Oryzias latipes: one gene and its partners. The protein of the gene in region 1 purifies or fractionates together with the protein of each later gene. This does not show direct contact. Links are inferred from orthologs where the notes say so. Each region holds a gene or a part of one and is shown on either strand. Other genes may lie near its edges. The genes, in order: lin37, lin52, tfdp1, e2f4, lin54, rbl1 and mybl2.

Evidence for each region.
Region 2: the proteins of lin37 (region 1) and lin52 purify together in Homo sapiens (affinity purification with mass spectrometry; 6 studies listed by BioGRID and IntAct, counting the BioPlex papers as one, with this or other methods). This does not show direct contact. The link is inferred for Oryzias latipes from reciprocal best matches to the Homo sapiens genes LIN37 and LIN52.
Region 3: the proteins of lin37 (region 1) and tfdp1 purify together in Homo sapiens (co-immunoprecipitation; 3 studies listed by BioGRID and IntAct, with this or other methods). This does not show direct contact. The link is inferred for Oryzias latipes from reciprocal best matches to the Homo sapiens genes LIN37 and TFDP1.
Region 4: the proteins of lin37 (region 1) and e2f4 purify together in Homo sapiens (co-immunoprecipitation; 4 studies listed by BioGRID and IntAct, with this or other methods). This does not show direct contact. The link is inferred for Oryzias latipes from reciprocal best matches to the Homo sapiens genes LIN37 and E2F4.
Region 5: the proteins of lin37 (region 1) and lin54 purify together in Homo sapiens (affinity purification with mass spectrometry; 4 studies listed by BioGRID and IntAct, counting the BioPlex papers as one, with this or other methods). This does not show direct contact. The link is inferred for Oryzias latipes from reciprocal best matches to the Homo sapiens genes LIN37 and LIN54.
Region 6: the proteins of lin37 (region 1) and rbl1 purify together in Homo sapiens (affinity purification with mass spectrometry; 3 studies listed by BioGRID and IntAct, with this or other methods). This does not show direct contact. The link is inferred for Oryzias latipes from reciprocal best matches to the Homo sapiens genes LIN37 and RBL1.
Region 7: the proteins of lin37 (region 1) and mybl2 purify together in Homo sapiens (affinity purification with mass spectrometry; 6 studies listed by BioGRID and IntAct, counting the BioPlex papers as one, with this or other methods). This does not show direct contact. The link is inferred for Oryzias latipes from reciprocal best matches to the Homo sapiens genes LIN37 and MYBL2.

Annotation. Positions count from the first base shown.
Region 1 is NC_019874.2:15,177,520-15,181,593, forward strand, and holds the start of lin37 (protein lin-37 homolog), read right to left. Parts: upstream 2,801-4,074; 5' UTR 2,756-2,800; intron 2,429-2,755; 5' UTR 2,392-2,428; coding exon 2,358-2,391; intron 1,461-2,357; coding exon 1,385-1,460; intron 1,216-1,384; coding exon 1,165-1,215; intron 676-1,164; coding exon 646-675; intron 483-645; coding exon 397-482; intron 292-396; coding exon 131-291; intron 1-130. Other genes in the region: proser3 (proline and serine-rich protein 3), read left to right, coding at 3,322-3,387, 3,472-3,734, 3,828-3,976.
Region 2 is NC_019880.2:13,721,245-13,725,351, reverse strand, and holds the start of lin52 (protein lin-52 homolog), read right to left. Parts: upstream 2,801-4,107; 5' UTR 2,798-2,800; coding exon 2,764-2,797; intron 2,713-2,763; exon of another isoform or gene 2,653-2,712; intron 1,978-2,652; coding exon 1,924-1,977; intron 1,308-1,923; coding exon 1,233-1,307; intron 1,157-1,232; coding exon 1,119-1,156; intron 1,022-1,118; coding exon 955-1,021; intron 194-954; coding exon 110-193; intron 1-109. Other genes in the region: pomt2 (protein O-mannosyl-transferase 2), read right to left, coding at 3,777-3,882, 4,068-4,107.
Region 3 is NC_019879.2:10,677,005-10,679,510, reverse strand, and holds part of tfdp1 (transcription factor Dp-1), read left to right. Parts: intron 1-1,099; coding exon 1,100-1,266; intron 1,267-2,506. UniProt on the Homo sapiens protein: Can stimulate E2F-dependent transcription.
Region 4 is NC_019864.2:28,153,448-28,157,431, forward strand, and holds the start of e2f4 (transcription factor E2F4), read right to left. Parts: upstream 2,801-3,984; 5' UTR 2,721-2,800; coding exon 2,556-2,720; intron 1-2,555. UniProt on the Homo sapiens protein: Transcription activator that binds DNA cooperatively with DP proteins through the E2 recognition site, 5'-TTTC[CG]CGC-3' found in the promoter region of a number of genes whose products are involved in cell cycle regulation or in DNA replication.
Region 5 is NC_019870.2:2,879,281-2,882,780, forward strand, and holds part of lin54 (protein lin-54 homolog), read right to left. Parts: intron 3,031-3,500; 5' UTR 3,004-3,030; coding exon 2,269-3,003; intron 499-2,268; coding exon 387-498; intron 306-386; coding exon 169-305; intron 1-168. UniProt on the Homo sapiens protein: Component of the DREAM complex, a multiprotein complex that can both act as a transcription activator or repressor depending on the context. In G0 phase, the complex binds to more than 800 promoters and is required for repression of E2F target genes.
Region 6 is NC_019863.2:32,786,893-32,791,182, forward strand, and holds the start of rbl1 (retinoblastoma-like protein 1), read right to left. Parts: upstream 2,801-4,290; 5' UTR 2,691-2,800; coding exon 2,529-2,690; intron 966-2,528; coding exon 832-965; intron 706-831; coding exon 502-705; intron 119-501; coding exon 54-118; intron 1-53. UniProt on the Homo sapiens protein: Key regulator of entry into cell division. Directly involved in heterochromatin formation by maintaining overall chromatin structure and, in particular, that of constitutive heterochromatin by stabilizing histone methylation.
Region 7 is NC_019863.2:23,223,541-23,227,768, reverse strand, and holds the start of mybl2 (myb-related protein B), read left to right. Parts: upstream 1-1,428; 5' UTR 1,429-1,666; coding exon 1,667-1,686; intron 1,687-1,961; coding exon 1,962-2,058; intron 2,059-3,044; coding exon 3,045-3,116; intron 3,117-4,113; coding exon 4,114-4,206; intron 4,207-4,228. Other genes in the region: uncharacterized protein LOC101163484, read right to left, coding at 56-80. UniProt on the Homo sapiens protein: Transcription factor involved in the regulation of cell survival, proliferation, and differentiation. Transactivates the expression of the CLU gene.

The DNA of each region.
Region 1 (4,074 bases):
TGCTGCTTTACGAACAAAGATAAAGAATGCTCTTTATGATATTGTGATGTTGAATTACAAAGAGATTGGTAAATTTTCCCTGTAAATACAGATTCATATTGCCCTTGTTGGACATGTTGGACAGCCCCACCTCTTCCTCTGTCATGCCGGGCGGGGAGCCGGGGGAGGCTACAGACTCTCGAACAGAAGGATTGTTTTTCATCCAGGCACGGCAGATCGGATACAACGGGGTGCTGGTGTTAAACTGAGCCAAATCGACGCTGCGATCAAACAGCTTAATGATGTAGGCATCTAGGAGCAAAGCAGATCAAATAGAAACGCTTCTTAACAATTGAAAAACTGCTGTAAATGAAAAGCTTGCACACAATAAAAAGCAAAAGTCAGAGTCAAATTTACTTTGTTTATGCTGATTAGTCTCTGGTATTCCCTCTTCCATCTCTTTCCTTTTCTTTCTACGGTGTTGTGGAAATCGAGTTGATTGTCTGAAAAAAATAAAAATAAAATACCACATCAAAACAATAAATACAATTCATGTTAACTGTTTCAAATAGTCGCTTTTCTGTAAAAAAAATGTTTAGGAACAGTACAGGACATAAAAAAGTATAAAAGACATTATTAACCCACGTTCTGAATACAGAGACTTACCTTTTTCCAGCAGATGATGGAGACAAATCCCTAAAAAGGGCAGAAAGGATGTTATCTCAAAACAAGAAATTCATTTGATCATTATTTAAAATACTCAAAAAGCATCAAAGTAACAGCTGAATTCACTGCAGCTTTATACAGTATATTGTAATGTACTGTACTGTACAAAGCTGCAGTATACTGTATAATATACTGTATACTACAGCTTTATGCAGTATATTAGAATATATATCTCTATTTTAAACTGTGTGCAATATTCATGCTGTATGTGCAATATCCATTCTAATGTGGAATACCCACTCGTGCAATATTCACCCCACTCTACTGTACAGTATTTAAGTATTTATGCCTTATATAGCTCCTTATTCTTATTTTATTTTATTCTACCTTTTTATATCGAGAGTTGCTGGAAAAAATTTCATTGTGCTCTGCAGAATGATAATAAAAGATTCTGATTCTGATATCAATTCCTCCTCACTTATAATTAAACAGAACAAAAGAAAAATTTACTGAGCTTACTTGTTTAAAGAATCCACAGATATTTTCCCAGGATCATTTTCGTTTGGATCCCTGTTTAAAGCATAACGACAATTTTAGACAGTGATGAGCGATCATTATGATGATAATAATAATAATAAACTTTATTTGTATAGCCCCTTTCAAGATAAAAATCACAAAGTGCTTCACAGTAAAACAGAATATAAAAAGAATTATGAAAAAGCATCACAATCTCACTAACTTCTCATGTTCACTCTTCTCTACAAGTCCTTTCAGCACAGCATCCAGTCTGCTGCGTGCACCGCTTTCCTCCAGCTCTGTAATAGAAACAGTTACAAAAATTATAACAGAAAACATGGATAACCATAAAATTATTACCATTAAAAGATATGTGCAATTAATTTAGCTATGAAGTTCCCAAAATCTTAAATATTTTGGATGGTAAATAAAAAAGAAATCGGACTTTTTTGAAGATACAAAGTACTATATGGAATCTAGTGGTTCCTTAACAATATTTACACACAATTTATTAAGCTATACCGTACCATAATTTTACATTTACAAGGAACGATTGGATCAAAACTGGATTATGACAACGATGCAAAAATTTGTAATGAAATAACTCACTAGGGGTGGGATCATACAAATGTCTTCCTACTCCTTTTCAATTAAAAATTAAAACTTGACTTTAGTTGGTAATCATATGGAATGAATCTGATGTGACCTAAATGTGTATTCTCTGCATCATTGCAGAAAAATCGATTCTGGATTATGAGTAATTACTATAACTTTCTTCTTACATTTTTTTTAATCAGTGCATTTCATTATTTCTGTTTGATAAAACTGTGTGATTTCCTTTTCTGTATTGTCTACAATCAATGCTTGAACTAAACCAATGGATCAACCAATTCCTAAATAGACGTTTTTAAGGGGTTAGGAGAAATTATTACACAAATCACAATTAAATAATTAACTGCGCTTAATTTTTTTTAAACGTTTCATTTATTATAAACCAAATGTTATATTATTTTTATACATATAATAATAATGTGCTTAACTAGTTTGTTATTACCCCTACACATTACAATGTAAATTATTTGACTTCTTTTTTTTTTACTGCCAGAGCCTTTCGGTGTCTCTGTGAAGCTCTTTTAACTAAAGGTGTCTAATTAAATAAAACAACAGTTCGTGAAAATAGCCCTGCTCTCTCTTACCTGGCCTTTCCGACTTGATCTTGACGTGGTGCATGGTGTCAAACAATATTTCCCAGGGGGTAAAAACAGATCTGCGTAGTAGATCAGTAACTACAGGTAGTCACAGTTTAATTTGTTTTAAAACAATTAAATATGCACCGAAACTAGCTGCGCTCCTGCTTTCAGTTAAGTTAGCTAACCTTTGCGTTAGCCTCACCCCAAACTCTTAAAATTACGCCACAATTTTTTTATCTACATGTATTTAATTATTAAATTGACACGAAGAGAAACATTTTACCCTACCAACTACATCTATGTAACAACAATATTACACTGTTCACGCTCTGTTCGATGTGGTCAAGTAGTGTTGTGGGTAAGCTAGTGGCCAAACAACCGTTGCTAACTGCGTTTTTTTTTACCCAGAAGTATCCCTGTCAAGGTTTTCTCTTCCGCGCGCTGTAGACTCTATGATCTGATTGGATGCTTTGTGAGCAGAATCTTACTATTATTGGACAACTGTTCTGTCCATTATTCAAAACTCAGCCCCTGATTGGTCAATTTCCACAAGCTGTGTTCTTTGCCGTAAACAACTCAAACGCTACAGCTTTTCTGGTTTCATCCATCTTGTTAGGTGTACTTTAATCAAAAAGCCAACTAGGTAGGTTTTTCTTTTCTTCACAAAATCTTAACTTTTGGTCTTGTAAATCTGTGTCATTGTTGTTGTACGTGTTTGTTATGGGTCAATGTGTTGCTTGATGTTGTGGTGTGGATGTGCAAATCCACAGGTCAGGATTTTTTTATCATCCACCAAATGAGCAGAAAAGTACAGTTTAAATTAGACTAGAGAGGAGGGGTCAGAAAATTAGAAGTAAAAATAATAAACATACAACTTATTTTATGCGTTTTACTATTGCTTAATCATTTTTATTAAAAAAATTGTGTTGATGCTGTTCTCACAGGGCAGAAATTTCATCTGCCACCATCCATGGAAAGAAGGGCACACAAGCAATCATCCAGCAAGCAACTTCTGTCAAAGACAAAGAACAAAAGTGTTAGTATTAAAGATAACTTCATTAACATCTTTGTTGTCAAGTCGATTCTAACTATTACTTCATACTTCTTGTACTTCTTACAGACGCGCAGTCCTGGTTGCACAAGCAGGAGATCCGGTGTAAAATTACAATCATGTGCTCAGAAAAATCAGAAACTGTTTAAGAAACATGATCGCCATGTTTCTTCTACTGGTGGACAATCTGTGGCTGCTGAGTCTTGGCAGTCCCCTGAACACGCATCTCGTCTTGGTAGCATCACTCCTGATATGGAGGAAAGAGATCAGCCTCTGAGGTCTGAGGCTTCCAAAGATTCCTCAGGAGTTCAGGAAGATTCTGTGCTGGCTAAGTGCGTGCCGTGCTGTCTGGTTTCATCACAATCTCATTTCATATTTAGTCTTTTAACGTTGCTCGACAAATCATTAACCTTTGCTTTTTGAAGATACATAGAACGTTTTCGACATGGTCTACCTCAGAGTCGGAAACAGCGCCAGCCAGTGACTCCTGTCTCTGGAGAAGAGCAGGAACCTTTGTGGTGGATGTTCCACTCATCATCTCCCTGTGGAAAACAAACTAAAACATTACATAAAGGTACATTTTATCTCTTACCTTTGTACCCGATAATCAAACAGTTATTTTCATAATAGTGTATGTTTATTATCATCTGCATGATCTTACTATCCCTGGAC
Region 2 (4,107 bases), on another chromosome or scaffold:
AACCTGTTTGGAATTTGAATGTGGAAGCAGCCAAAGACTTCAGCGGCAGAGAATTGCGTGGAAATGCTTTTAGCCCCCCCTAGTGGTGAAGTGTCTTTGTTATACTTACACTCCTCTAAACCCAGCTGGTAAGCCAGATTCTGAAGTCCTTTGACTTTTTCCATCAGATTGGCTGTAGTCAGACTTCCCAGCTCTGCAGAGGTATAACATCACACTAAATAAAAGCATTTAGAGATACTTAATTAGCTAAAGAAACATGAATTATTATTTAAAGTCCCACTCGGATTTGATCTTTTGATCTGTTGTAACCCTTGTGCTATCCTAGGCACTTTAACGTTGGGAGTTGGGTCATGTAGACCCACTAGACAGTGCGCTGAACTTTTTTTCTTCAATGATTTATGATCTTCACTGGTGTCCATGGATTACATGAAATCTTTCCACCTTTATCCACCTTTGTCATGGTCGGAAGAACACGTCAATGTAAGGGTGGGGTCATCTAAGATAGCACAAGGGTTAAAAGGCGTTCCCAGAGGTCTTTTAATGAATGATTATGCCGTTTTTTGCCGAGATAGAAAAAAAACACTGTGTGATTTTTAAGGACAGTTAGAGCAGAGCTGCAGTAGATCATCAGTTTATACACTCTACTGCTAGCTTACAGCCACTCACACCCCCAACCTAACCTTAGAAACGAAAATGGCGAGCAATATTGATTAAGAAATAAGAAATTTCAAACAGCATTTTTTCATCTGCTCCTGATTCACAACGATTTGAATAAATAAGAACTCAGAAATGCAATTTCAAGCTTAATTTTCTTTATACGTGTCCTCCATTATCAGATGTCAAGATATCAAATGCCACAAGAACATGTTCAAAACACGGTTTTTCTTATCAGAGTGGGTTTTTAATGTTTTCCCTAAGGTTTATACAGGATAAATGTCAGCTGTCTGAACCAACCTTTCAACATTTCAATGTCCTCACTCTCCAACTCAGCCATCCACTTTGGAGGAGAGGTGGTGATAGGCTGCAATAAAAAGAGAAAAACAACAACATACAAAGTCTCAACTCCAATCAGTCTATGCAGAGTCAATCCTGCATCTTTAGATCAGAGCTAAACTCACATTTTTGCAAGTTGCCGCAAACTCTGCAACTCCAGGCACTGTGTGAGAATTCACATAAAGAATCAATTACAAAGTAATTTTTTATCAGCTGGGCGTGGGAGGATAGAAACTTACACTGCTCTGGCCACAGGTCAGGTGATGCTCTGTCCAGCTTCTCAAAACTCAGCAACGAAATCTCAAAATCCTCCCCTGCAGAAGCACACAGTGGTTCACTTTGACATGTTCTTTAGTTTTTTAAGTTCTATGCTTTTGGAAATCAGTGGTCAACTATAAAATTCAGCCAAATGTTAATTTAAAAAAAATTAAAAAGTAACTTTTTATAAACAGGTCAAAAATTGAAACCTAAAAACAACTTTTGTTTCATGTTTTATCTAGACAGAAAGAGAGGAAAAAATCTAATATTTATCTGGTCTTAAAATTAGGCAGTTTCGAATGAGAATAAATGGTTTTATTCATTTAAGATTCGTACAAACACTGATCAATTAAAATGTTCAAAGAGGTCATAGTCATGTGGTGATCTGATCATCTACTAATAACTCTTACACTGCTGTAAAAATATGTTTGGCCATTTAAACAGAAATGCCTCGTTGATGTGAGAGATCAGAGGAGAATGGCCAGACCGGTTCCAGCTAATAGAAAGGAAACAGGAACTCAAAGAACCACTGGTTTCAACCAAGGTCTGCAGAAGAGCATCTCTGAACAACCCTTGAGGCAGATAGGCTACAGCAGCAGAAGACCACACCTAATGCTGCCATTACTGTCAGCTAAGATCAGGAAACTGAAGCTTTAATTCACACAGGCTCACCAAAACTGGACAATAGAAGATTAGAAAAACATCTGGTCTGAAGAGTCTCCATTCCTGCTGGGACATTCAGATGGTAGCATCAACAACATAAAACCATAGATCCATCCTGCCTTGTATCAACAGTTGAGGCTGCTGGTGGTGGTGGTGTGATGGTATGGGGGATCTTTTCTTGGCACACTTGTTAGAGACACTTTTCTTTCTTATTTGTCTGTATATGTATAAAGGGTTTTCTTTCTTATCAACAATTACTTTTGCTATCAAATCTGAACACTGGTCCTTCACCAATATAGAGAATTGTATCCAAAATTTCAATAACTCTTGACAGAGTGTGAATTACTAACTAATAACATTATTGGTTCTGCAGACTGTTAAACTTTTTAGAATTTGCTTTCAACATTTTTAACACATTAAAAGATACTCATTACGGACATAATACTTAATAGCAGACTGATTCCATTTTCAATCAAAGGAGTCGAACAGTCACACAAAATCTAACAAGCAACCAAAACAGCTACTACTAATTTAAAGTAGAGAAAAATAACTAAGTGCTAAATGTAGCACTGATGCTAATTCGAGCCAAACGGCCAAACGAAGCAACAAGAAGAACAATCTGGACTGCTGCTGTCATCATCAACGGCGGACAATGTCAGTCCCAGAATCAGGAAAAACAAAGGAAGAAAAACAAACCGATTAAACAAGAATTTAGTCCTACGACAAATTTTACGTTACCTCTGGGTGTTCACATTACACTGCGTTATAACTGTTAACGACTTAAATGTCTCGAAACTGTCACATTTGCGATGTATTCAAAGCGTATCGGAGAGAAGAATTAAAATTTACCTCCATTTGGAGACGCCATCTTCAAAATAATCATGTGACATGCAACAACCAATCGCAGCGGCCGCGCTCTGTTTTGAGGTGTGGCGATGTTTTTCAAAATTACGCCGCTAGAGGGCGGCAATGGTGCTCGCGCTGTTTACAAGAGGCACAGAAGATTACTGTTCGTTTTATTCAAAGATTTATATCGTCTTAGAAATTGTAGTACGAACATTACTGTCATAACTTAATGAAAAGACCCTTATTTAAGCCCACCATAGTCTCAATGAAATGTTACAATGCTGGTACATTTTATGGTTTTACCTTAGGGGACATTTAAATCACCTTTTATTCCCTCTAGTTTTTATTTCTGGAAAGAAAAACCATAACTCAATTATTAAACAAGACTTTCACATCCCAGATTTGGAATGTTTTGCATTTAGTTTATATTTTTATAACAACAATTTCTTGCATTTAGTTTACTAGGCCCATGTTTCACAGATTTTACAAGTTTGAACTTAAGTATACATAAAAAAACGGTACAATTTATTATATATATATATATATATATATATATATATATATATATATATATATATATATATATATATATTGAGTTTTCCAATTTTTTGACTTTGCGGCACATCTCGTTTTGTGTTTGTAAATTTTGCAAATATAACAGGACATGAAATACAAGAATAAAACAATTTATTGATCAACATAATAAAAACACAAAATCAAAAGTATAATACTAAAGCTCAGGACAATCTCAACTAAAAATACATGTAAAATGTTCTGGCTTTAAAAAAAACAACAACTACTGTCTCTTTCAAATGGAATTTAGTTTGTCACTAAAGGCAACTTGGTGACAACTCCAGTGCATCTTAAAAGATTCTACAATCTGCTTTCCAAACTGACTGAATTCACATTTTTTCTTACAGAAAGACAAATGAAATGTTTAGACTCAAACTGATGTTTTGAAATTCCCTCGGCTCAAAATGCTCCGTGTCTGTGACATCTTAATCAAACAAGGATAACTAGAAGTCCCAGGAGTCTATCCACTTCAGGCCTGCCATGGCACTGCCCGGCTCATGGGCAAGAGGACCCATCATGCCATAGGACAGAGGATGAAAAAGGTAGAAACTGGAAGGAAGACAAAGATCTACTCAAAATCAACAAATTCTTTATTGCCTTTACATTCCCACCAACTAGATGTAAATATGAGGTCTGCCTTACAGTATTTAGCACTTTGCAATGCAAAAAGTTACGAGAAGAGTTACTTTCACCTGATATAAACTGCAAAGTTAGGGCTCTCTTATGAGTCTCACCTGTAAAGGATGCTGAGCTGAAGTAGCAGCCATCCACCAA
Region 3 (2,506 bases), on another chromosome or scaffold:
ACATGGCTGCACCATTTTTCATTAACTCAAATAAGTCCCCAAAGAAACATTTATTGTTATTTAAAAAATAACTCTCCTTCACCATGTCGCGTGAGGGGCAGCCATGGTGAAGGGTTAGTCGACCTCTGATCGGAATATTGCGGGTTCGATTCCCACCTTGCCCACCTATATGTCGTCTTGTCCTGGGGCAATACACATTGCCTCTGGAAGGTTGCCGCCAGTGGCAGCAGAACGCTGGTAAACTGACCTGAAGAACTGGTTGGAGCTCAGTTAAGGGTCCTGAACAGTTTCAAAAGTACTGGTTTGTTGTTCAGACAGTACCCATCCCTAGTGCCCTGTGCTGCCGTCTCGCTGTGGTTTCAGTCCAGCAGTTTTAAAGAGGAGGAGAACAAGCTGGGAGGCCCACATGTACACACTTGTGTGTTTGCTACCCTATGACACTGGGGGTCTAAATGAAGAGCGTAAACAGGTTTGCTTTGTAGTGACTCAGCAGTTGCAAGGCCTCCAAGTGTTTGACGACGTGAAGACGGAGTCGGACAAGCACAACATTACACGTGTATTAATGTCTCCGGCTGAAGAACTTTTCTTCGTTGTTGAATTGAGCTCAGAGTTGGAGATCAACTGTTGGTTTTTTTTTAAAGCATTACTGTCTTAATGTAAGCAACCCTCCCTTCTCTGGGACTGAAAATGTTGATTTTTTTTTTTTTAAATTTTATTTTATTCTTTGCTGTAGTTGGCTAAAGGCAGATGAAGATAAAGGCAGATTTAGTAATATAAAGCGTCTTTGCAGCCCTTCATTTTATCTTAGAGATTTTTTTGATGGTATATCAACTCTTTGAAAACGGTGAACTGCATAAAAAAATGCCCCCCCCCCCCCCCCCCCCATTTTAAAGCAAAACAGTTTTTACTTTTCAGCTATTGTGCAACTCCTGCTTTTACTGACTTCATCAGTCACATTACAAATATTTATGGAGGTCAAAGTGTTGATCCCAGACACGCTTCGATGGATCGTTCCAATCCACTAAAGCTTGTGTCACATGTCACCTGAGTTCTGTGGATGTTTCACCCTTCTGATGTTTTTGTTCTCCCTCGTCCGCAGGTTCGAGTATTTGTTCAATTTCGACAGCATGTTTGAGATCCATGATGATATCGAGGTGCTGAAGCGTATGGGCATGGCCTGCGGCTTGGAAGTGGGAAAATGTTCTCCAGAGGACCTGAAGGTTGCTCGTAGCCTGGTGCCCAAAGCGCTTGAGCCTTATGTTATAGGTGAGTGCCAGCATCTGCCACTAGAGGCCGAAAGGGACAGTGTTTGTCCTAGAGCTGTGACTGTGTGGGATTTTTGATCACAAATGACGGCGTGGTGTCGCGGTTAACCAACCAACTACCCAAAAAAAACACATATAATCCCCCGGTGGCAGCATCAAAAATGAATACAATTACAACCCAGTATTCTTTAATAACAAATAACAGTAACTAAGACCTGTCTAACTATAGAACTAACTATAAAGGTGTTGTAGATTGAACGGGTACAAGTGTGTTGGGGGTGAGTGTTGATTCTTCTGCAGTGGACCACTCTGGAGCTGCATGCAAGCCTTCACCTGTGCTCTCTGGTACAGACATCTTCTCAGAATATTATATATTGCCCAGTAATAAACAAGACTGCAGACACTTTGTCACCTTTCCAGTAGCCATGAAGCCTGACACCCATGAAGAACACGGGGCAGGAGGCTCCGGCTTTGTTTATACAGGCACGTAACTTTGCGCTGCACAAAATAGTTCCCAAACAAAACATGTAGTGATATTAATCGCACTCTAACAGTGCGCATTCGTGTTTAGTGTTACAGAGTGAAGGAGAACAGTAATAAAAGTTTCCCCCCAGAATAACAGTGACTGATTCTTTATTAAACCACTCTGGAGTATAGCTGTGATGGGGACTCTTGCGCCCCCCACCCCCCCAACACAAAAGCCGTTGCGCACTCAAGAACGCATGCAGCTTGTAATGAAAATTAATACAATGGAAATGAATAAGTAGAACGCAGTAAATTTGTCGTATGTCCTCGCGAGATGGAAATTTCTGTTGTAGAATGAGGATGTGTATGTGCTGCTGAAACCCGCGTGTGTATATAAGAGGGAGTGCGTGCAGCGCAAGAGGGAGTGAAGGAGAACTGCAATAAAAGGTTTCCCCCAGAAACCATTGAAGTCTGAACACAGGAGTAGCAGAAAAAGTAAATTATCAGCAAAGATGAATGTGTTTAATGTGCTTATGTTCCAATCATGCACCATATGCAGAACTTTAAAAAAAACCATAATGCAGTGATGCGGTTATCGTCACACTCCTAGTTTGTCCAACACATTCCTGAAGCATCAAGCATTATGTCTCCAAAGAAATGTTAATTCTAACACAAGCAGACAGACTTTCAGACAGAAGACGTCACCTTAACTTTAAAGCTTTTTTGAAACTTCAAACATGAAATGCTTTGTTGAAGCAGTTGTAAAAATGGCTCCA
Region 4 (3,984 bases), on another chromosome or scaffold:
AAGTCAGTTGGAAAGAAAAAGAAAAAAAATGTGTGCACGTGCGTGGAGTGTTTTATCTGCGAGGTGCAGCGCAGCTTAGAGTATCAGCAGACACTATATCAACCCAGTCACACAAGAAGGAAATGATCAGGAAGACAGACTCAAAAAGAGAAGAAGCAGAACTCTTCATACATAATGTAATGCCTGAATGGTCAAAATGACAGTTAAGAAAATAACAAAACAGAATCAGTGTGTTGTAATTTAAATGATTTTAGACTCAAGTGTCTCTCTTCTATGACTGTTATAGAAAAATATGTACATTAGGGGGGAAACAATCAATCCACTTATTTGATAAATTGATTTATATTACTACGATCCAACCAAATAAATCTGTCTGAGGCAAGTTGCTGATCCAAGCGACCTATACCATTAAAAAAAAATCCTTTCAAAATGTAATAAATTAGTTATATTGGAAAATACCATTTGGATTGAGGCACGTTAGGTTTATTTACTATAATGTAAAATCGACCATCACAGCAGACAACACACAAGTGATATCAGCAAAAACTGATCAACCGTCATTCCAGTCCAGTTTGTGGAAAAACTTTGAATTTAGCAAAGACATGGTCCCATCCAGTGGGCTAGAATGTTCTAAGAATGTTACATTTTTTAGGGTGTATTGATCCTTTTGAACAATTCGGTTAATATAATAATTTGTGGTTGACAATACGATTTATAGTAGATATTTGTTCATTTTGAACGATCCGATTCACTGACCTAAAATAGATCCAGGACATTTTTAGCCAAAACATCAATCAGTGGGACTCAGAGAGAAATACCTGGTACTGAACAGCACAGCGGAGGTTTTCCAGATTCCTTGCAAAATAACCAAGCGTAAATTAAATAAGTGTACAAACACACAAACAAGAATGAATGGCAAATCTAGACACAATAAATCACTAATTTATCGTTATCATGATATGATATATCATGCAAAAGTCTGCAAAAATTGCAATAAATCGTAACCTTAAGAGTGCTAAAACAATCTCATAGCAGCTTGAAGTATTTAATGAATCAAATAAATTCATTTAAACATTTGACCAATCAGATGGAGCCTTTCACGTGGTTGACCAATGGGATGGAGCTCTTTTATGTTGGCCTCCTATGTAGACGAGGGGCAACTCTTATTTAAATTAAAACTGTTGCAGTGAAATGGAAATTATGGTTTTGATCGTTTTGCTATTTGTTCATGTATCGCAAGTTATATCCTCATCGCAATGTTTATCACTAATATCGCATACCGCGAGTTTTCCTCATTATATCGTGCAGCCCTAGTCAAATCCATTCACATTTTTGGTTTCATCAAGTTGCGACATATGACCACACTGTATGGTCAAAAATTATGTTTCCACACATCGAGCCGTAATGATGGTTGGTCATGCTTTGCTGCCGTCACATGCGTGTTGTCTACTGTGATGCACTCGGTTATTTTTACAGTTATGGTCAAATAAACCTTCAGAACCTCAATCCAAATGGTGTTTTCCTATATCCATATAATTGATTTATTTCATTTTGAAAGGATTTTATAATAATAAAACACGTTGACTCAATTAACAACTTGCTTCAGGTCAATCTGGTTGGATCGCAGCAATATAAATCGATTTACTGATTATTCGTAACAACCCTATCTATGGCAAAAGTGGGCTGAACTTTGACACTAAAATGGGAATTACTTGTTTGTTTGTTAAGCCATTTTATTTACATTTACAAGAAATACAAGTGACACTGTTCAGTACCCATTTATTTATCTCTGAGTCCCACTGATTGATGTTTTGGCTAAAGATGTCCCGGACTATAAATCATGTCGTGAAGCACAAATTATAAAGTGGATCAAATTGTTCAAATAAATCGTAACACCCCTAATGTAAAAATATGAAAAGTGCAAACGTTATATATTTTTTTGTATTTGTAGAAAACTATTTGAGCTTTTACATCAAACAATGTGGGACTTTAGCAGAATCCCAATAGTAAACATTCCTGCATTAAAGCTAGTGATGGAAATGTGGAAATGTGGCCCCTGTACTGTGAAAAACAAAGCTAGCCTAATTTAATCAACATCTGTGCGAGTACTACTTCACGCTTTGAGTCATTTCTGAAAAGCAACATTATAAACGCATGTCGTTCGTGGACAAAGACGCAATCAATCATAAAACAAACTTGCTCAAGTGTGAAGGTGCAGTGGCTTTAACTGAGAGTAGAATGACAAAAGCTGACCCACTTTCTAAACTTTGAATCTGCAGGGGGGCAGAGAGTCGAAAAAAGTTGACCGGTGTTCTTGAAATTCACTTCGTTTCTTCACTCAGAAAGGCAAAAATCTGCACCATAAAATATTAAATGTGATTTTAATTGTAAAAGTGGTGAACTAAAACAACAAACTTAGAAGGCAAAGCTATCTTTCATTCAAATTAGCCTGTCACACAGCTAAGCTAGGCTAGCATGCTAGCTAGATACCATGTAACTTAACGACTGCGGGCTGGCTCAAAGTGACATGTGCTAGCTAACAACAAAGAGCTCACAGCTTTCAGATCCAGGACTCCGTCCTTCGCCTCTTGTAATAAAGTGACGAACTTCGTCGTGAGCAAGCCCAGGCTCTTCTCGTGCCTGCTCGGCGTCTGCGGTTGCAGCGAGTCTCCCACGGTTCCCGGGTCGCCTCTGTTACTGGCCGTCTCCAGCTCCATCATTGCTCCGGATCAGCTCCGTACTTCCCCTCTTCTCTTGCCTGCTTTCCGACTAAATCCAGCCAGCGAGCCCAAGAAAGAAAGCTCCACCGCCGCAGTTCGAAACACACACGCGTGGATGGTGTGGTGCAAATTTACGAGTCAATACTAGCTGCTTTTCTGAAAATAACTGAGCAAAATCGAGCTGAAGCAGCGAGTATGGAAATTCAATGAAGGAGCAGTCGGTGGAGAGCCGTTGGCCACGCGAGGTATGACGGGACGGTGCTTTCGTTTTAGGGACCGTGTGCAAATGTTCATGAAAAAATAAAACCACGTAAAAAATACATTTGCTAGCACGAACATGTATTTCTAGTGATTTATTTTTAATGTAACATTGAAAAAAGTATGAAAAAAGACGGTTAGTAGTTTTTCTATTGCGATTTTAGGGGAAGTATTGGTTGCAAGAATTTTTGGTAGAGGAGAAAGTTTAACTCGAACTCTTAGCAACTTAAACTTGAAGAAAACGCACTTCCACGCGCGCACACGCAGGCACCGTTCTTCAAATGAATATTTGAAAATTATTTTCCCCTCTAAAGCTTTTCTTCCAAACCACATTGTCATTGACTGAAACATTTTCAAGGTTGCAAAGCAGTGCGAATTAGTGTACTGTGTAAACATTGGTTTGTAAATTAAATATTTTGAATTTAACTATTTGAGTTCAGTATTGCATCCTAACGACTTTATTTTTTTTAACCACAAAAATGTTACCACATAATTTAAGTTTAAAAGTTATTATAGGGGTGTAACGATTAATCGACTTAATCAGTGAAACAATTTTATATTTCTACATATTTTCTAGGGCAGTTGTTAATCTATTATCTATTCAAACTATTATAAAATCTTTTCAAAATTAAATAAATCGAAAATGTCAAGATTGGAAAATAGCATTTGGAGACATGGTAGGTTTATTTTACCGTAACATAAAAGCGACCAAGTGCATCACAGCAGACAACACATATGTGGTGGCAGCCAAAAAATAAAAAAGAATGTTACAGTCCAATGTGTGGAAACACTTTGAATTGTGTAAAGACATGTGGTCATGTGTTACAACTTTATGAAACCAAAATTTGAATGGATTTTCTTTTAATTTTTGTTTACTTGTTTATGTGTACACATCAACTCTACACTTGCCAGAAGTATCAGAGTACCAGAGTCACACTGGTTTAAAAGTTTTGGCTAAAAATGTCCTGGCTGGATTTTAGGTCAGTGATTGAACTGGATCGTTCAA
Region 5 (3,500 bases), on another chromosome or scaffold:
TAGAAGACGTTTTCTTTTTTAAGTTCTAAAACACAAAAAACGCACACAAAAAGAGAATAAAAAACTGCTCGTCAAACACTCAGCAGATCAATCATCGTGGGGGGGGGGGGGGGGGGTTTGTAGCCCCCGCCGGTTTCGTGAATGACTCAGAAAAGTGTGCGGTCTTGCCTTGCTGGGAGTCTTGAGTGGAGAAATGGCGATCTTCTTGCTGGCGATGTTCTGCAGGTTAGTGTTGTGAGGCTCGGACAGAGCGATGGTTCTGGGTGGCATCACGGGGGACTGCGTCTGCGTCACCACCCGGCCTGCTGGCAGATGGGGGGGGTGACTAAATGAGCGTTTGGTGGACAAAGACGCGGGTCGGGTCTGCAGATCTGCAGAGAGCTCACCTGCGATCACAGGGGTGACGGACGTCTGAGGACTCAGACTTTTGCTGTTGACCGTTTTGGTGATGATGAACTTGATGGGAGCCGCAGAGGAGACCGGGGTTTTCTTAGGAATCTGAGGATGGATATGAATGTCAGATCTGAACACAAACACCCATGAATTAGCTTTAAAAAATGGATTGATGCAATCGATCTTCATGCAGGAGAAATTAAACAAACCGTTGAGTTGATTTCATTTTATAGAGATTTGTTGCATTTGCATCTGGAAAAATAATTTTGTTTTCAGTCTCCATGAAGGACGATTATATTCGATTGAAAAGAAAAATATATTGATATTTAAATAAACTGGTGTTTTGGGCTCTTGTGATTTTTTTTAAAGAACTCCAAACCGGATGGGCTCCAACCCTTATCTGCTGATGGAAACTATAAAATAAACTCAAAAGTGTCCGATCGTCACGATTTTGCGAGTCTGTACATTACAGAGCAAAACCCTGGAAAAGTATTAAATATTGACCGTCGTTCTAACTTTTGGTGGAGCATCATCCCTGCTGCGCCCACAACAGACACTGTTCAAGACCGGCAATGATGTCACATGACCGCTGTCACCCAATGTCAATCTTGTCCTGGTAGCCAATGGGCTCAAAGCCCCGCCCCCATGGAAAACTCGGGTGAACGCCAGGAAAAGTTCTGAATTGAAACAGAGGACTGAAAGCAAAGAAACGAAAAATCCAAATGTGAAACTAAAAACACAGCAGCTGTTTTTAATAAGCCTTTTTTTTTAGATTTATAAGCTTTTATTAAAGTTTCAAATCTAAAGCTTCTTTCAAGTCAAAAATAAATGTTCTTCAAATTTACAGTCTGCTTATTTATTCACTTTAAGTTGATTCTCATCTGATCCCATATTTTAAATAAAGTTTGACTTAGTTTGAATTTTTCCTCATTTTTACACACATTTAAAAAGCGATGCTTCACTCCTGAGCTTCACCGCACGTCTCTGATGTTTGACGGAAGATTCAAGGCCATCGGCGATGACCTGAAGACTGATCTGACGCAGAGCAGAAAACCAACCAGGCCTTAAAAAAACGGGAATCTGGATCGTCTCCAAACTGGAGGATGTGATCTGGATCGTTTTAGACTAAAGAGTTTCAACAAAAAATACTGCAATTACAACAGTGCAAACTATTTGATTGCTGCAAAGATTCAAGATATTTTAGCCAGGTTTAAAGTTGTTTTAACTAAAACTTCCCGAGCTCTGCGGAAAAAAAAAAATCTACACAGGTGAGAATTTTTTGCCTCGTATGGATCTAGAAATAAGGAAATTATTATTTAAATGAGTCCAAATAATTTTTATTTAAACTCAACTTCAAAAAAATTAAATAAAATGTATCAAAATTTATTAAGACAACTTGTTTTAAGATTCTCCTTTTGTTCTAAAATGAGTAATTTCTACTTATTACAGTTTTATTTTGTCACTGTAATGAAAATACAATTCGGTTCATTAAAACTGAAAATAAACCATTTACTTAAAACTGGCAAAGAAATACTGCTTTCAATAAATACAAGAAAAACCGTCACCTGGACTGTTCAGTACCTGATGTTTCTCTCTGAGTCACACTGGTTAAGCTTTTGGCTAAAGAGGTCCTGGATCGACGTTTGTTCAGTCAGTTCAAAATGAACCAATATTGACTGGGAATCGCATCGCAACCACTAATTATGATGTGTATCAATTTGCTTTTAAAAATGCATTGTTATACCTCTAATTTTTTTATATACATTCTTCATCATGACTAAAATGCCACAAGGACAAGAGTGGGTCTTGAGGTTCTCACAGTCCTGCTAATGGGAGTTCAAAGGTCACAGTAGCAGCCTCTGCGCTCAGGGTTACCTGTATAGTCTTGAGCTGCTGGGTTTGCACTGCGGTTACTTGGTTGCCTCCACTCCCCACCACTGGCTTCAGTTCTGACCCCCCAGCAATCGTGACCACTTTAAACTGCGGAGCCGGGGCCTTGCCGTCTCCTGAGGCCTGGACCACGCCGGGTTTGCTGGCCGCATGCGGCAGCTGCAGCACTATCGGCTGTCCTGACTTCCCTATGGTCGTGACCAGCAGCTTCTGTCCTTCTTGCTTGATGACCTGCGGCGGCGGCCCCGCAGACTTTGCAGCCTCCGCAGCTTGAGACGAGGCCACCTTGTTGAGGATGATCTGATGGTTGACGGAGGAAATGGTGAAGGGAGCGGTGAGCTTCTGTAAGCCGCCCGTGGACATGCTCGTCCCGGTCACGCTGTCCGTGGTTTTGGTGGGGGCCGTGGAGGTGGCCAGGCCCGGTTTGAGGGTGACCAGGCGCGACGGGCCGCTGGAAATGAGGATGGAGGAATGTCTGCTGGGGCTGAGCGTGGAGTCCGTAGGCGTTAGCTGGGTTTGGGAGTTACCCGTCGGCGCCGCGTCTTCGGAGACGCTGGGAGTTTGCGGGACGTCCGTTTCCATGGGAACTGTGGAGTCGTAGCAGGGCTCCGCCTGGACCGCGGCGCTGTCGGGCTGAGAGTGAGGCGCCTCCTCCATGGCCTCCGTGTCCATGATCTCATCAGGAAGGAGGCTGTTCAACTCGGGTGACACCACGTCCATGTTTGCAGCGTCTCCGCTCTGTCAATCCTGGAGAAACAAAAAAAAAAATGACAATGCTGAAAAATAGAAGAAAAAATATATATACACATCCATTTCAGAACCTGCTTAATCCTTTAAGGTCACGGGGGTTACATACATAAGCCACCCCAGCTACTGTTGGGTGAACACCACACACATGCATTCCCAACTAGAGGCAATTTAGAGATACAAATGAACCTCTGTAGCATGTTTTTGGAGTGTGGGAGGAAGCCAGAGTGCCCAGAGAAAACCCACAATGCACAGGGAGAACATGCAAACTCCCCACAAAAAGGATCCAAACTAAAGTCTCCTGACTGAGTTGAGAGGGTCAACCACCGCACCACCTGGGAATATCCTTTTACTTTTTTTTTTACTGTGTGTGAACGTTTGTGTGTGGTGCTGTGATGGACTGCAACCCCAATGTCTGCACAGGGTGAGAGTAAAGGTGGATAGATGGATGGATGCTGACAGATTTAGTC
Region 6 (4,290 bases), on another chromosome or scaffold:
GCTCAAGCAAACCCAGAGGGTTCAGGAAGGTCGTCCGGCTTGTTTCTCGGTACCTTTGGTGTAGACAAAGAGGGTCCAGCAGAACTTGAAGACATCACTGATGTGACAGGGCAGCCGTCTGCAGACACACAGGAGCAGATCCTAAAGCCCAGAACATTCCGGAAAACTCCACATCTGCTGAAAGCTGCTGTCGGTGCAAACATGCAGCAGCGTCTCTGACGTGGAGGTCAGAGTTCAAGCTGTGTCTGCAGTAGAGATGGAGCTGCAACGGATCCCAACACTCACGGTTTGGATCATGTCTCAGATCAGTAAAAAGGATGAAACATCAAGACAAAAGCCTAAAATGTATTTGTTTTTGTCAAAACCTTTGCTCGGGTTTTATTTGAACTCAAGATATTCCAACAAGACGCAATGCACCATGTGTGTATGTGTGTATATATAGTATACTGTGGACATGTATATAGTATACACCGTCATGCCTGAGGCGCGCCGGCGTCCCACCTGTGCTTCCTGCTGCGGGGCTGCCGGGGGGGCTCGCTGCCCTGTGGGTTCTGGAACATGTCCATGAAGATGGGCTCGAACTTGCGGAAGATCACGGTGGACACCTCAAAGTTTCGCTCCAGCCGGTCCATCCTCAGCCGGAAGTCTTGTGACAGGTTTGACATGTCGGCCCACTTCCTCATCTTAGAGAAGAACTGGATCAGGCTGGGAGGGGGGCCGACAACAAACGGGACCAAACATGAAGACGCAAATCCCAAAGTTGCACAGGCGGATCCCGTTTGACCGGGACTGGCTGTAAAATCCAGCAGAAGCTGCAGAGCAGAACCTGACCTGAGCTTGGAGCAGCGCAGGATCCGGGTCAGGGACACACAGTTGCCCTCCATCAGCCCCTTCCCCACAGTGGGGGTGGACCCCTTCCTGCAGGCGGCGTACAGAGAACAGGCCAGCCAGTGGACCACCTCCCCCTGCAGGAACACAACGGCACATTTCTGCATCGTCCAGCTCTGCCCACCCACCGGTGCCCGAGTGCCCTTGGGCCTGTTAGCGTCTGGCATGGCAGCTGTGCCTCCATTGGTGCGTGAATGAAATGATTGGTAAAGGTTCAGGTTCTTCTGAACAAAACCCTGTGCTAAACCCTCAGGAACAGCTAGTAGATGAAACATGAACACGTTCAGCATTCAGTCACATTTCAGTAAAATACTGCGTTTTATTTCATTCTTTTCATTTTGCTCAAAATAGACTTTACATCTTTAACCATATGAATTCATAATGAGGTGTAACAGCTGTTTTATGGAGACAACAACAGAGATAAACGATTTCCTAACGTTCACTCGTCTAGTTAAAATAACGCATCAACATAAAATCCAGTTATTACAACTAAATGTACAACATTTGGATCCGTTTGGAACCAAATATGCTACAAAAATGCTGAATTTATTCACCAGAGTGACGTCATTTTTCTACATTTAAAGAAACATTGAATCATGTGAAGAATTTCAGGCATCTCCATCTTCAACGCCATCGTGTTAAACAGCAGCAGGAGCGCACAGAACAAATCCACCATCTCAACCCTGAGATCAAACAAATCCATAAAAAATCATCAAATAAAAACAACTAAACTCATTTCCTCCAAATGGCCCATTCACTGTAACCTTTTCCTGTTTTTAAATATTTTTATTATTTGTATTTATTTAAATTGCTGTTTTAACTGTTTATTATATTTTATATAAGTACATATGATGTACAGCAACCTTGAGTGCTCAGAAAGGCGCCATCTAAATAAAATGTGTGATTATTATTACTGTATATTAATCAAAGAGCTAAAACAAATCTAGTAAAGTTTTGGACGTTTCTGTTCTTTGGGTCACTTTTCTAGACAGCAACAGATAAATGAACAGAGTCCCTTTTAAAGCCACATCAAATCAAAAATCCAGATATTAGACGCCTTTGATTACAAATCCTCCTTTATGCAGGTGAGTCGTGCTGTGTTCACTGCCCTGTTCAATCAGTAGGAATTTATAATTCTCTTTACGCCCCTCAAATACTGTTTTCTTGCTAATATTTTCTTAGTTTTTGCTAAAAAAATAAGGACTTCATATTTAAAAATTCAGTGCATCCACCTCCATGTTGTAGATAATAAATACACCTTCCGTTTATTGCCATCTATTTATTGCCATTAGTTACCAGGTAAACCTAAAGACGAGGCTCCTCTTCCCGTCACCTGCAGCATCTCGCTGTGACGTTGATTCAACAACGGACGTAAACAACAATCCTATGACTCAAATCAACACCTGGATGTTTTAACTCAGTCTCACAAATAAGCCTCATTTCAGTGTTTCTGTGTGTAAACACAAAAATCTCCGGTAAGCTTCAGGAAAACTCACGTCACAGCATCATGTATTAATGTATATCATGACCGGAGGTCGCAGAGCAGAAGCGCTCGTTGGCTCATAGCGGGTCAGTCTACAGCGCCCCCGGGAGACTCTAACCCCCCCCCGAACCGAACCGAACCGAAGCCAGTCGTTTACCTCCAGAGTGTATGTGTTCCATATGGAGGTGAAGTTGTCCATGGCCTCACTGGCTGTCTGCTCGTCCATGTTGAGCTCCTGACACAGCACCTCCAAACTCCTCCGGACCGAACTCTCCTCCATCCTCCCCGACTCAGAATCCGAAGACTCCTCCCCTCTCATCCACAGAACCAGCGCTGCCCGTCCGCGCAGCTCGAATCCGACCCACAGAACCAAACAACGGCGGAGCCGAGCTCTCACCACAACAACACGGTTCCCGTCGCTTCCGCTAACAGCTCCCAGCATGCAGTGCGGTGGCGCGAAAACTTTACCCTTCTGACCAATCAGAGGCGAGAAACCTACGCCCCCCTCTCCCCCTTTCTTATGTACCGGATGTCAACTTTTTTTTCTAAAACTTTATAAAAAACAAAAGCACGAACACATTGAAGGCAAAAACTTCTCTGGCCACTAGGAGGCAGGGACATTAGTTATCATTATCGGTTATTATTACTGGTTATTATTATTGTTAATTATTATTGGTTATTATTATCGGTTATTATTATTGGTTATTATTATTGTTAATTATTATTGGTTATTATTATCGGTTATTATTATTGGTTATTATTATTGGTTCTTACTACTGGTTGTTATTATTGGTTACTACAATTGGTCATTATTATTTGTTATTTTTATCGGTTATTATTATTGGTTATTATTATTGTTAATTATTATTGGTTATTATTATCGGTTATTATTATTGGTTATTATTATTAGTAATTATTATTGGTAATTATTATTGGTTATTATTATTAGTAATTATTATTGGTTATTATTATTGTTAATTATTATTGGTTATTATTATCGGTTATTATTATTGGTTATTATTATTAGTAATTATTATTGGTAATTATTATTGGTTATTATTATTAGTAATTATTATTGGTAATTATTATTGGTTATTATTATTGGTAGTTACTATTGGTTATTACTCCCTCCCTACATTTGTTCCTTAATCACAAGGAGAAGTGTGGAATCTCACTCCTCTGATCCTTAGACGGTTGTTTCTGTTCCATTTGCTGCACAGAGCTGGGAAAAAGCCTTAGTCCACTCTGCTCCTCCTGCTTGGAAAATGCTGCAGAAAGACTGGAAACTAACTGAACTGGTATCTTTAAATGTTTTTAAGAACAAGCTCAAAGCATCAGAGACTGAAACAATAATGTGCAACTGCTTCTCATGATGTATGTGGTTTTAATGATGTTTGTTTTTATGTATTTTTTTGTATTGAAATGTGCCTCTGGACCAAGACTCCCTTGAAAAAAAGATCTTGTCTCAATAGGACTACCTGGTAGAATAAAGGTAAAGTAAAAACCTCTGGAAAAGTAATAATAAAAAGAAACATTCAAAAATCACAATTTAAGCATTTATAGCTCAAACCTAGATATTTTGTTCAAGTGGAAATACAAATTTAAACAGCATAAAACGATGGACTAAAAACGAATGGGGACATTTAGTTTCTGGGATTTTTCCTACATGGTCTGGCTGCTTTAGACAGTTAAATATAATTCATCATAACAAACAAGTTATTGAACATTTAATTAGCAAAATGTTACAAAAACAGAGTAACAAGAAGTAATTGATTTGTTTCTTTGACTTGCTTTATCTATAAGAGAAGCCACAATTTTCATCCTGACTCAACTGCAACAATTAAGACTTCTCATTATTATTATTATCACATTATTAAGAACCAGAAACATGTAATTTGATAAAAAGTTATTTTTTACAT
Region 7 (4,228 bases), on another chromosome or scaffold:
AAATGGAGGACTCTGCTCTCAAACTGTTCATCAGGGAGGAGGGGGAAAACCTTACCTTGTAAGACACAAGTGCTCTCCATCTTGTCTGGAGATGTGAAGGGCTCAGTCTGCTGGGTTTTAACCTGCCTCTTAATTGTCCCAGCTGGAGGCTGATTAGCTGAATGGAGACTTCCTGCTGCATAGGAAGTTTTGCATTTGTGTAATTTCTACCAAATATAATATACCCAACAAAAAGTACTTGTCATAAGAAAAAGATCAAAACATGACAACACCATAAATTAGACATAAATTAGAGTGGTTTTCTTTTATTTTCAACTGTGGGATGTATGACAAAATGAAAAAGAAAAACATAGGGAGTTCCTAAAAATATGCTCAAAAATTCCTGAAAAATTAGGAATTTGAGAACAGAAAAATTCCTAAAAAGAATTTAAACACAACATATTGAATTTCATGTAAGTAGTTTTTCTCTGGGGAAATTCACCCGGCGATAGTGCCCTAGAGTTAACCATAAGTACATGTATTCCCCTAAACTAATACACTATTTTTTAATCATAATATTTTGATATTTATATCAGTTTGATAGGTCATTGTATGAATGTCTAACTGATGATTGTATTGTTTTTGTGTACTATTCTTATTTGATTGCTTTAAATAAACCATTTTCTAATCCAAATATTTGAATTTTGTTTAATTTTCTTATGTGAAATCAAAATTACAAGTAAACTTTAAAAGTCAAATTAAATTACAGGCCTAAATGAAGCTGTTCGCTGATCTTAATTAATGAGAACTGTTCTATCCAAATTTTTACTGAGATTGAGAAGATTGAGCTTAAAAGAAAAGTTATAAGATGAACAATGTTTACCTTCAACTCGCAACAATCATAAAAGACCTAACTATTGACTAATCATTTTATCTTAGCTTATAAGAAGAGTTCACAAATATTTTATATATTCATATACTGATTCATTTAAAACTAACCTTTTCATTATTTTTTTTAACTGTTTTCCGGTTTTAGATTAAATTTAACTTTTTGGGTTATTATTTTTCTAGCTTTATTTATTTATTTGTTAGTTAGTTAGTTAGTTAAGTTAGTTTGGCTCTTTTATTTTTAAGTTGGTTTTGTAGTGTAATTATTTCTTTTAGGACAATGTATCTTTGCTTCAATATTTTCATTCATTTATTTGTCTATATCATTTTTTTTCAATTCTATGTTGTATTTTTTTGTCTATATAATTATTATTATTATTATATTTTAAATTATTTATTTATTATTTATTTATTTTATAAATCTTAATTACAGCACCTAATTAAAAACCATTTTGAATCAACCAAACATTACATTTATTTTATTATAAAGCGTCTTAACATTTTATTTTGAAGGTCATCCATAGAGGTTTGAAGCCTTCTGCGCAGATCTACGGAGCACCTACGTCACTTGAGAGTCAGCAGTACGGAGAAGGGCGCGAGATAGAAATTGCGGCGCGCGGACGAAGCTCGCGCCTACCTCTAGCTGTGGCTTCCCGGCTCTATTATAACTGCAGTCGAGGTTCTTTCGTCAGAACTGGACATCCTGCAACGACCCAGCCGTGTCACCTGCAGGTTTTTCCCGCAAACACCTGCAGCCCAGCCCGGTGAAGTCCACGTTTGACCCAAATAACAGTGGGAAATGTCATCGTGGCCGCGCGGGTAAGATCCGTGTTTTTGTTTGCTTTTAAGTTTGCTTGTTTGTTTATGTTGCATCTGATGAGCTGACTTCTGCTCCGATCGGGTTGTGGGGAGTTTGCGCGGACTTTGACTGCCGCCTTTTTTCCGGACTTGGCTCAAACTCCGACCAGAATCACCGCCGGTACTTTTCCAGATCACTGCTTCCTGTCAGTAAAGCTGAGCCGCAATCCCGCGGATCCGGTCTTTCTTCGGCGCCTTTAGGGTCAAATCTCAACCTCTTTAATGTGTCCCGGCAGGGAGGACGGGGAGGAGGCCGCGCATCCGGACACGGACACCGATCTGACGGAGTTCAGGGATGGAGGGAAAGTAAAGGTCAGATGGACGCAGGAGGAGGTAAAAGTTCACCCTGAGTGGGGCCTGTGATTCTAGTGCAGTGTTTTTCAACCTTTTTTGAGCCACGACACACTTTAACCTTGACAAAAATCCTGCGGCACACCAGCATCCAAAAATGTGAGAGAAAAAAGGAAAAACTTATAGTCAGTCTGTATTGATCTACTACAGCCCCTCCGCAATCTCACATGCATTTTTGTGACAATTGTGGCAGAAAAAGCTGGAAGTTGCAGCTGTTTTTTTTCTAAAAGATGTAATAAAAGTTAAGTTAAAAGATTTAAAAACTGTTTGATCTGTTTTCGTTGTGGTTTCAAGACGTTTAACAAGGACGACTCATTCTGCGCTAAGACGCTGTCACTTTAACCCAATGCATCATGGGAGATGTAGTGCAAACAGCCGCAGAACGCAGAAAGACTAGCGTCTCTGAGCTTCATTCTTTTGTCCACTTTTTCCACGGTCTGATACCAGATTCTGTGGAAAGCTGCACCGCTAAAGACGAGCTTTAGCTGATATTTTTGTTGGAACTGAGAGACTTTATGAGCAGAATCGGAACAAGGAAGTGAAGACTTTAACCACTTCTGATTGGTCAGACTGTTGACGTGTGATTGAGCCTCCAAGAATGATTGGTGGAGACAGTTAAAGGGGCGGGACTATTCCTTATACAACTGTAGCTGCGGCTAAATCACGGTACCGTCATTCTTATCAACATGTCTTTAATAGAATCAAATAAACACAAAGAAAAATGTATTTTATGGTCTTTCATATTCCTAACTACTCAGTGTTTTATCAGGGCCTGTTTGGATGAACAAAGAGCTGTTATCCTGGAGTTGGGAAATCTTTTTAGATCAGTTAATGAGGGCAATTTCCCACGGCACACCAGACCATCTCCCCCGGCACCACGGCACACTGGTTGAAAAACACTGATATAGTAGCCCTCGTGGTTTTGCAGCGTAAAACAAAAATGATTTGTGTTTGTTTGTTTTTTGCAGGACGACAAGCTCAAAGGTCTGGTTCAAAAACTGGGGACAAATGACTGGAAACGAATCTGCAGCCACCTCCCTGTAGGTCTAATAGGGGCGTATCTGTCTGATCATCACTTTGTGTTGCACTGCAGGAACTTTGATTTATACAAATTTACGAAATCTTACTTTTATACAGGGGCGGAGCTACAGGCGGGCAAGAGGGGGCACCCCCCCCCCCCCCCTGCATAAATCTTAGCCTCCTAATATTTGAGTTGATATGATAATCATTATTTTCATAGGTTTAGAAATCATAAATACTAGCTTCTTTAAGTATTGCAAAAATAATTTTAAAAAAAATTATTTTAAAAAAAAGTTCTTGTTGCCACCCTTTCAAAGTCTTCCACCCCCCCTTTAAAATCTTCTAGCTCCGCCTCTGCTTTTATGATTTCTTTCACTGAAATGTTTTCTTGCAATTATCCAACACTTTTATTGCTCAGACTTAAAAATATAAAACCAAGTTTCAGCGATTACCGTAGGCAGTTTTAATATTCAGTTTTCCCTTTTATAAAGCATTTAGAGTTTAATCCTAGTTCAAATTTTCCCAAAGAAGAGAATCCCCTTTTGTAGGATTTTGGTAAACCGAATGTTGGATTTGTCAAAGTTGGGTGACTTGATGTTTTTTTTGTTTGTTTAAACTTTTTTTGCACTAAAAATCTGGGATTAAAAGACTTAAAATTATAAAAATTCCTTCAAATTGCAGAAAAAAATTTAAGGTGAGAGGATTTAATCTGCACATTATTTCTGATGACAAAAGAACAAGGACAAACCTGCAGCAAAAAATAAAGTTACATATATTTCAGAAAAAAACATTTTTTTTGGTTTTTCAAATCCTGTAGAGAGAGAAAGAAAACTGCTTTTTAAAGTACTTTAAACAATTGTTTGTCTTTTTTGAAGAAAAGGTTAACAATTATTTCAATATCGTTTTTTGCAAGTACTGTTTTGGTGACAAACATGTTGGGATTGATCTGGAGATGATCGGGATCAGAGGTTTAGTTAGGACGTTTTTCCAAACCTGACGCTTGTTCTGTTGGTCCAGAACCACTCGGAGAACCAGTGTCAGCACCGCTGGTTTAAGGTTTTGGATCCCGAGCTGGTTAAAGGTCCGTGGACTAAAGAGGAAGACGAGAAGGTAAGCTGCCATTCAATTAGCA